2 linked regions of the Drosophila melanogaster genome follow. The protein of the gene in region 2 interacts with the protein of the main gene of each other region in a pairwise test. Each region holds a gene or a part of one and is shown on either strand. Other genes may lie near its edges.

Region 1 (4,702 bases), on a different chromosome or scaffold from region 2:
AGGCAAAAACAAGAAAAAGCCGGAAAAAGAAAGTAAAAAGGCAGAAAATGTTTAGTTTATATTTCTAGAGCGAGAAAGAGAGAGAGAGAGATATGGGGACGTAGAGAGCGACTGTTAAGTAATACATTTGCAGAGAAAGCGCGCGCAAAAGACACAAGAAAAAAAAACACATTTGCATGTATTGTGTGCTACTTATTGATGGCGTTATTTTCTGGTGTTTTTCGCACAATTGCCGCAGTTTCTGAACGCTGCTTTTGACATTGGAAGAGTTCAAGCGGCTTTTTTTTTACGAATTCGATTTAAACTCATTTTCGATCTGCGAAGGTCAACAGCAAAACAAAATGAAGCCGACTGCACGCACACCAAGGCAATATTTACACAGATACATTCACCACAGTTGTATGTTGCTTGTGTTGCTCCTTAAATATGTTACATATTTAACATATATGATATGTTGTGACAATCAAATAGTACTTGCAATCTTTACCTTGGTTGAGCCGCTCGATTTTACAACTGTTATTTATCACACTTTATTTTCAGTTTAAAATGCACTTTTTCGCTTCCTTTTCACTTTTGATTGCTACTGACATCAACTTGACGTTCTGCTAGTGACTGTATGTTAGCTCCTAACAGCTTCGGCAATTTATCGATTAGTGCTGTTAACGCTACAGCTACCTAACAGAATTAAAGAAATATATTAAATTTAACAAAAATACTGAATACAGCTAGCTGGTCATACTCCTGTTTTACATTTTATTTAATTTACGAATACGTTTAATTTAAATTTTGTTGATATATAATTTAATAAATTTTTTGGTCTCAAAACGTCTTAGCTAACCCCACACAAAACCACTTCGAGATTATTCTGAGGTTCTACGAAAAAAAACTTGTTATATATACAGAGATATATGTATTTTAAAACCAAATAAAAATGAACCTGTATATAATAATACCATAAGATAGCTACTTACTCTACGAGCTGTGAGCCTTGAGTGCCGGTGCTCATATAACTTTCTTAAGCTTGCTTGATATAATTTTCATATTGCATATCTAAAAAAAAATAAAAAAATAATTATAAAATTTTTGTAAAAAGTTCAGTAAAAACAGTTTAATTCACTTATTACCTGGTATTTCCTTCTCTGCAAATATAAACGAATTTTAGATATTTTCAAATTTGTTTGAGTTGGTGTGTTCTGTTTATTATGAAAACATGGATACATTTTTAACAAGTGCTCAAAATATTATTTTATTTACTAAATATATCAATATATAAAATAAATTGTATTTTCTATTAGAAGACTAGTAATAAAAATGACAAAGTTATAATAATACCATTGGAAATAATTACCAAATTGCAATTTTTGAAATTGCAAAGTGTGACTGCACGAATACTTGTTGAATATCAACTGCATGAATTAAATTTCGCTTTCCGAATCAACGAAACATCAAATTTGGTCAAACATGAGCAAAACATGTCATATAATATTAACAATATATTCTTTAAGAAATTTAACAATTTTAAATAAATTATGAGTGACCCTGTGTTGTGTAAAATATGTGGTATTTATTCAGTATTTTTGGGTTTTTTTTTCTGTTTTTCGGCAGCACTGCGCGGCGGTCACGCCTTTGTATTGTATTTATATTCATTCGTTAAGCGACGGTCGTCCAAAAAGGCAGAAAATGTGGAAATTCATTGATGAACAGTGGTGAAAAGTGCGTGCAGTCATTCGCTTCAATTTGTCGTGGCCGATTCCTTTTCGCAACCAATTTTTCTTATTTTTTTTCTTGTCAGTAACAAGTTGTCGGTCAATAAAAGTGTCAGTTTATTTTCTGCATAATAACGGTTACTAAAGCCTAAATTTTTTGTTTGTGACTTCTTTTTTTTTAAACAAATGCGCCGACGCGCCAGAAGTTTATATTCTGTTTTTATGTTTTCCGCTTAAAACGAAACGTGACTAGTTTGTTTTAAATTGGTGTGCAACGAAAACAAGAAGAAGCGGATGAAGAGGGTGGAGAGGAGAGGAAGCAGAAGAAAAAGAGCAACAGTCAAGTGAATTAGTTTTTTTTTCGTCCATGCCGTCGCTGCCAACGTCGACGCCGTTGCGCCGCCGCATTTAGTCATTGCATCAGTGTGTCCGAGTGTGTGTGTGGCAGAGAGAGCGAGTGGGAGAGCAAGGGTGGAGTAAAAGTAAATGCGTGCAATTAGCATTTAATGCAATCACCATTAACCGCCTACTATTGTAATTTATATTACCCTAGTACCTGTAATTTACACATACACCTACACACACACCTGCTCAGCTAGTGGTAGTGCAAATATGAAGTGCAAAAAGCGGCGGCAACAACAATTGTCTGTTAATTGCTGGATATTTCGTAATGCAGCAACAATAACAACGGTAGCAAACTGTAATGCCACAGTGAAGACTCGCTAATCGAAACTTTGTCGGGCATATTAACCAAATTCGTTATATGTTTGCATTGAATTTACATTTCATATATTAACTTCTAAATCTCGTTAGATTTACATGCTCGCGTGTTCAATAGCAGGGAGGGCCCACTGTACTTGTAGTGAAGCGCCGTTACAGCCACAAATGCGTGTGAGTGTGATTATGTATGCATGTGTGTCTGCATCAAATCACACACTTGCAGCGCTCATGCACACGCACTTGTACTTGTGCGTGGCTCACATTTCCATAGCCAGCCGCTTCCCCCTCCACGATCAGTGTTGCTCTTCACCTGCAGCTTTCGCTTCTGCTTCTTCTTCTCCCGCACGCATGTGCCGTTACAAATTCGCTTGGACATAAATCATTTTTCGTGCATTAGCCGGCGATTGTTAATGGAAATCGTATTAGAAAACAACAATTACAATGGGCCCACATCTGCCGCTCTCGCTCTCGATCGCGCTCATCATTGCTCTCCCGTTTCCCGTTACAGAGAGTGCAATACAAGTGCAATATTAATTAAGTAATAGAGGAAACGTAATATGCGTGTGCAATACAAACAAATGACCATGTAACGGCCAACAGAAATGTATATGCAATACAAACGTACATACATGTGTAAAACAATAAGCGCAAAACACCGCCCATCCCCGCTTGAAAAGTAAAACCAGCAATCTGCGAAACCTTCGACCATCATTGGGTTTTACTGTACTTGAAAATGGACTGTGCCACGCGAAAACAACAACAATTACGGGCACATCATCAGCAGCAACAAATACAAATACAAACACATGGACGAAAGCGGCAGCAATTACAAAAACAACGCCACAACCACCACCACTACTACCAAAATTCACAACAACAACAAAAACATTTCGTGTGGCTTGTTGTTGGCATTTTGACAATTTTTTTGGCTCAGGTGAGTGAGAAAAAAAAATGAAGGAAAAGAAACAACAACAAAACATAGTGATAAAGATAAAGCGACAGGTAAACCCGCAAAGTTAGTTACCTCTATGATTTGGGGGAAATTCGTTGGGAAAATTCTGAGGACTCCTAATGGATGGCGCAGGGTTGTCAAAAATATTCATATTTTAACTAATTACAATGCAGATTTCATAGATTGGCCAGCAACACAGACAATTTGCTAATTATTTTGAAATGTTTTTTTCTGTTTTTATTGATTCTTTTTTTTTCGAAAATTACAAGCCAACTATTTTCCACATTTAGTGGCAGAAAATGTCTTAACTGGGTTTTTGATTCGCTGAGTGCGTTTTAGGAACTCGTTTGGCCGGTTCTAGTTGTGATTTTGGCTGGGTGTTATGTTATTTTAATATGAACTCGCTCAACCGCTCACTAAAATTGAACTAAAATTACGATAAATCCAGATTTCATATAAAATCGAATAGTGAGATACAAATATTTAATGTGTTCAATATTTCAAACCAGGTTTACTTGTTATCTGATCAAACTTCGGTAGTCAAACTATTGATTGCATAGCTCGAAATCTTTAAAGGCAATTTAGAAGCGCAAATTAGAAGTTTAGGCCCAAGTCAATTTGAAATGACACACACAGGTGATGAATCCGGTGATTAAATTTGATTTTGTTGGGTGATTTGTGGGCTTATTCCCGTGATTATTCCTTGTTTTATTGCCTGAGTTTTTTTTTTTACCTCGTTCACAAAACTCGTTTCATTTCGTTTCGTTTTGCATTGTTGTCGCATTGTTTCAGCGCAAACGAAAGACAATAAAAACAAAATCCCAACCATCGCAACGCAACAAGTAAAAAGTTAAAAAAAAAAAAAAAATGATGAAAACACTAAAAAGCGAACGCAAGTTAAAATCAAGGTTGGTTCTGATGACGCTGTCCATCGCAACTTCCTCACTCTGAAAAAATTTCAATACGCTTATCGAGCGATTCCCCGAGATAGCCCAGCATAGTCGTAAACTGTTTCTAAGCTTGAAATAATAAAAAATAAAAAAAACTATAGAAATCAAAGCCTTAATAAATAGATGGCAAAACTTGTATCTTTGCTGCTGCAGTTTGTGTATTCTTTGTATCTCAGATGATCACAACAACAATAAAGTTGTCCCTGATTTCGCAGTTTCTTTGGCCACAATAACTTGAATGCACTGCCGTCTTAGTTTTGTTTTTTTTTTTTCTTTCCACATGCTTCATATTCATAACTCACGTGTTTCTGGCACTGTGACTTTGGCTTTCATTTTATCTGGGCATTGCCGCGATTGCGGATCGCAGGTCATTA
Region 2 (4,384 bases):
AAGTGGACATCGAGATTGACGCCAAGCTGGACACGGTGAGCCATTTCACTCAAGAGATTCCATGGGGACAGCAGTTACTATAATAAAGGTTTCTATATATTTCTCTATCATTTGACAGCCCAAAATGATCTCAAAATATGGCCATCAAGCAGAGACCCATTACGCATTCACTGCCGACGGCTACAAGCTCTGCCTGCATCGGATTCCGCGATCTGGAGCCACACCCGTCCTATTGGTCCATGGCCTCATGGCCAGCTCGGACACTTGGGTGCAGTTCGGTCCATCCCAGGGTCTGGCCTATATCCTGTCCCAAAGCGGCTACGACGTCTGGATGTTGAACACTAGGGGTAACGTTTACTCAGAGGAGCGCCTGGCCGGTCGGGAGAGCGACAAGATCTTCTGGGACTTCTCCTTCCACGAGATCGGGCAGTACGATCTACCCGCTGCCATCGACTTGATCCTGCTGCAGACTAAAATGCCGAGCATCCAGTACATTGGTCACTCGCAGGGATCCACGGCCTTCTTTGTGATGTGTAGTGAAAGACCTGAGTATGCAGGCAAGATCTCATTGATGCAGTCCCTCTCGCCATCAGTTTATATGGAAGGAACACGCAGTCCAGCACTCAAGTTTATGAAAGTTCTTCAGGGTGGCTTCACAGTAAGTACAGGAGAAGTTTAAAAGGTATATCATTTCTATATGGTTCGATATATATTCAATATTATAGATGCTGCTTAATCTCCTGGGCGGCCACAAGATCTCCCTGAAAAACCGGATCGTTGACATGTTCCGTAACCACATCTGCAACAAGCTTATCCCCAGTCGCATCTGTGCCATCTTTGAATTTGTGGTCTGTGGATTTAACTTCAACAGCTTCAATATGGTAGAAAACAAGTCCCTGATTTTGTTTTCAAGGGTTCAGATATTACCTTCTTTTGTAGACACTATCCCCCATTTTGGAAGGTCACGCCTCGCAGGGAAGCTCCGCCAAGCAGATCTATCATTTCGCCCAATTGCAGGGCAATTCTGCTTTCCAAAAGTACGACTACGGGCTAATTCTGAATAAGATACGCTACCAGTCGATCTTTCCCCCACTTTACAACCTTTCCCTGGCACTGGGCAAGGTGGCTCTTCACCGCGGAGATGGCGACTGGTTGGGATCCGAATCGGATGTCCTTCGACTGGAGCGGGACCTGCCCAACTGCATAGAAAACAGGAACATTCGCTTCGAAGGATTCTCGCACTTCGACTTCACGATTTCGAAGGATGTTCGATCCTTGGTCTACGATCGCGTAATCGATTTGTGCGGTTCAAATTGAACTTTTAGCTTACGAATGAAATATTAGCAAATCAATTAATAGATTTGCTTGGCACATATGTGAAATTGCCTTTTCCTAAGGGCTCGGAAATAAATATAATTTTTATTAAGGGAAATTAAATATATACAAATATTTTACAATTTTCCCAGCTGTAATAAAGAAAGACTTTTATTATGATAATCGAAAATATGGAAATGAATAAACCGACAAAAGTCGCCAGTGTTTAGGGTGAATTCAGGCCAGAGACAATTGTTATGTTTTTATCCGTGTTATTTAATGAGGTCACAAATCAATCAAACAAAATACTAAAGAATAACGATACCTATCATACTAAGTACAATCTTCTTTTACGATTAATTATGATCAACCTGTAATTCAAGCTCCTTTAAAAAGTTACGATATCTTTACATCTAGCTGCTTGAATACAAAAAATGTATTTATTAAACCCTTGATCAAGGTTGCCCTTTGTTAAATATTACTTTAGTGATGCTCGATCGATATGTTAATCTAGTTATTCACTCCAAGCATGGATATTTTAATTTCAGGGTATTTTATCATTAACGCTATAAAAGAGTTCGATTTCATTTCTGCCTTCGAGAGTAGACAAGAAGGGAACGAAATGGCGATCGCATTTAATATTGCGATCTATGCAATAATTTTAGTGGGTAGTTTGGTACCCAGCAAGACTCAGGAATGGGTTCCATATGCATATCCTGTAGATGAAAATCAAGGATTGAATGAACAGACACAGTGGCAGTCACAATCACAGATTCAGGTAAACAAAGAGAGTGCAAAGCAGCTAAGATCCGTTGGACCTAGAACAACCACTACCTAAAAAACCCAAGCTTACCGTCAAGGGTAAACTCAATCACAGTCGCAAGATTTATTGTAAGGACGTGCTTAATCACCTATAAACTACAATCACAACCTCTCAATCGGAAGCCTAATCAAGCGTAATTCCCATTTCAGAGTCAAGGGACGTCACAATCACAAAGTCAAGCTCAAATTCAATCACAGCCTGAACCAAGGTCATGTTTACAATGTCAACAAGCTAGTTACCAACAATTCTTTGCGGAGGTGGACATCCAGATCGACGCCAAGCTGGAGACGGTGAGCCATACCACTCATAAGATTACACTTGGACAGCATGCAGTAACTATATATTTTTCTATCGTTTGACAGCCCAAAATGATCTCAAAATATGGACATCAAGTAGAGACCCATTACGCATTCACTGCCGACGGCTACAAGCTCTGCCTGCATCGGATTCCGCGGTCTGGAGCTACACCCGTCCTATTGGTCCATGGCCTGATGGCCAGCTCGGCCACTTGGGTGCAGTTCGGTCCATCCCAGGGTCTGGCCTACATCCTGTCCCAAAGCGGCTACGACGTCTGGATGTTGAACACAAGGGGTAACGTTTACTCGGAGGAGCGCCTGGCCGGTCGGGAGAGCGACAAGATCTTCTGGGACTTCTCCTTCCACGAGATCGGGCAGTACGATCTACCCGCTGCCATCGACTTGATCCTGCTGCAGACTAAAATGCCGAGCATCCAGTACATTGGTCACTCGCAGGGATCCACGGCCTTCTTTGTGATGTGTAGTGAAAGGCCTGAGTATGCAGGCAAGATCTCATTGATGCAGTCCCTCTCGCCATCAGTTTATATGGAAGGAACACGCAGTCCAGCACTTAAGTTTATGAAATTATTTTCGGGTGGCTTCACAGTGAGTGCATGAAATTCCTAAACAATATGTATATATTTAATGCTCTCCATTTCTTTCAAAAGATGTTGTTGAATCTCTTGGGCGGCCACAAGATCTCCCTGAAAAACAAGATTGTTGACATGTTCCGTAACCACATCTGCACCAAACTTATCCCCAGTCGCATCTGTGCCATCTTTGAATTTGTGGTGTGCGGATTTAACTTCAACAGCTTCAATATGGTGGGAAATTCATCACTAATTTGGATTTCACGGGTTAATATTGATTTTTTGTAGACACTATCCCCCATTTTGGAAGGTCACGCCTCGCAGGGAAGCTCCGCCAAGCAGATCTATCACTTCGCCCAATTGCAGGGCAATTCTGCTTTCCAAAAGTACGACTACGGGCTAATTCTGAATAAGATACGCTACCAGTCGATCTTTCCCCCACTTTACAACCTTTCCCTGGCACTGGGCAAGGTGGCTCTTCACCGCGGAGATGGCGACTGGTTGGGATCCGAATCGGATGTCCTTCGACTGGAGCGGGACCTGCCCAACTGCATAGAAAACAGGAACATTCGCTTCGAAGGATTCTCGCACTTCGACTTCACGATCTCAAAGGACGTTCGATCCTTGGTCTACGATCGTGTAATAAGTCTTTGTGGTTCTAATCGTTAAATGCTTAGATAACAAATTGTACTCTTAGCTTACAACTGAAATACAATCAAAGCAATTAACTGATTTGCTTAGCACAATCATTTTTTGAGGACTCGCCGCCAATGTACCTAATAATACAAAAGTAAAGAAAAAACAAAGAATAATAATTCTATTTAAAATAATATAGATACATGTTTCAGTAATTATAAAGAAAAAAGAATTCTTGGAAGAGGGGGAAAAATACTTGCCTTGATCATATAACATTTCCTAACAATGCGGGTGGAATCAGCATTCAGAATGAATTCCACCCATTGTTTAAGAGATTTTCATTATATTATATTATATATTATATCATATTATATAGGCGCTAAGTACATTTCATGGTTGAAATCTCCCTATGTGTAGACCTTTAATTCTTTCAACACTTCTGATCCAAAAAGCTTTAAGTAGCCAAATCTATATTACGAAATTATTGCTTGTTGACACTTGTAAGGATATCTATTTAACGCCAGGATTCAAAAATTATAATTTTCAAGGTTTTTTTTCCCTGCCAACCATTGGAAAATTGTATTGTAGTGATGCAACATCGGTATGTTAATTTAGTTATCCACTCCAAGCATGGTTATTTTAATTTCAAGGTCTTGTATCTTTTAACCTATATAAACGAACGATTCCTTCGCTGTCGAAACTAAGTTTTGCAACGTAATGACTAT

The links. Proteins that work in one complex are often made in the same cells at the same time.
Region 1: the proteins of CG18284 (region 2) and Ptp4E interact in a two-hybrid assay, tested with the Drosophila melanogaster proteins (one large-scale study listed by BioGRID).

What each region holds. Positions count from the first base shown.
Region 1 is NC_004354.4:4,937,488-4,942,189, forward strand, and holds the start of Ptp4E (protein tyrosine phosphatase 4E), read left to right. Parts: upstream 1-1,640; 5' UTR 1,641-1,713; exon of another isoform or gene 1,714-1,817; intron 1,818-1,949; exon of another isoform or gene 1,950-2,045; intron 2,046-2,093; exon of another isoform or gene 2,094-2,188; intron 2,189-2,934; 5' UTR 2,935-3,159; coding exon 3,160-3,360; intron 3,361-4,702.
Region 2 is NT_033779.5:10,642,059-10,646,442, forward strand, and holds CG18284 (uncharacterized protein), read left to right. Parts: upstream 1-1,912; 5' UTR 1,913-1,936; coding exon 1,937-2,092; intron 2,093-2,286; coding exon 2,287-2,427; intron 2,428-2,499; coding exon 2,500-3,039; intron 3,040-3,101; coding exon 3,102-3,257; intron 3,258-3,311; coding exon 3,312-3,692; 3' UTR 3,693-3,833; downstream 3,834-4,384. Other genes in the region: CG31872 (uncharacterized protein), read left to right, coding at 1-35, 119-658, 726-881, 940-1,317; CG17097 (uncharacterized protein), read left to right, coding at 4,377-4,384.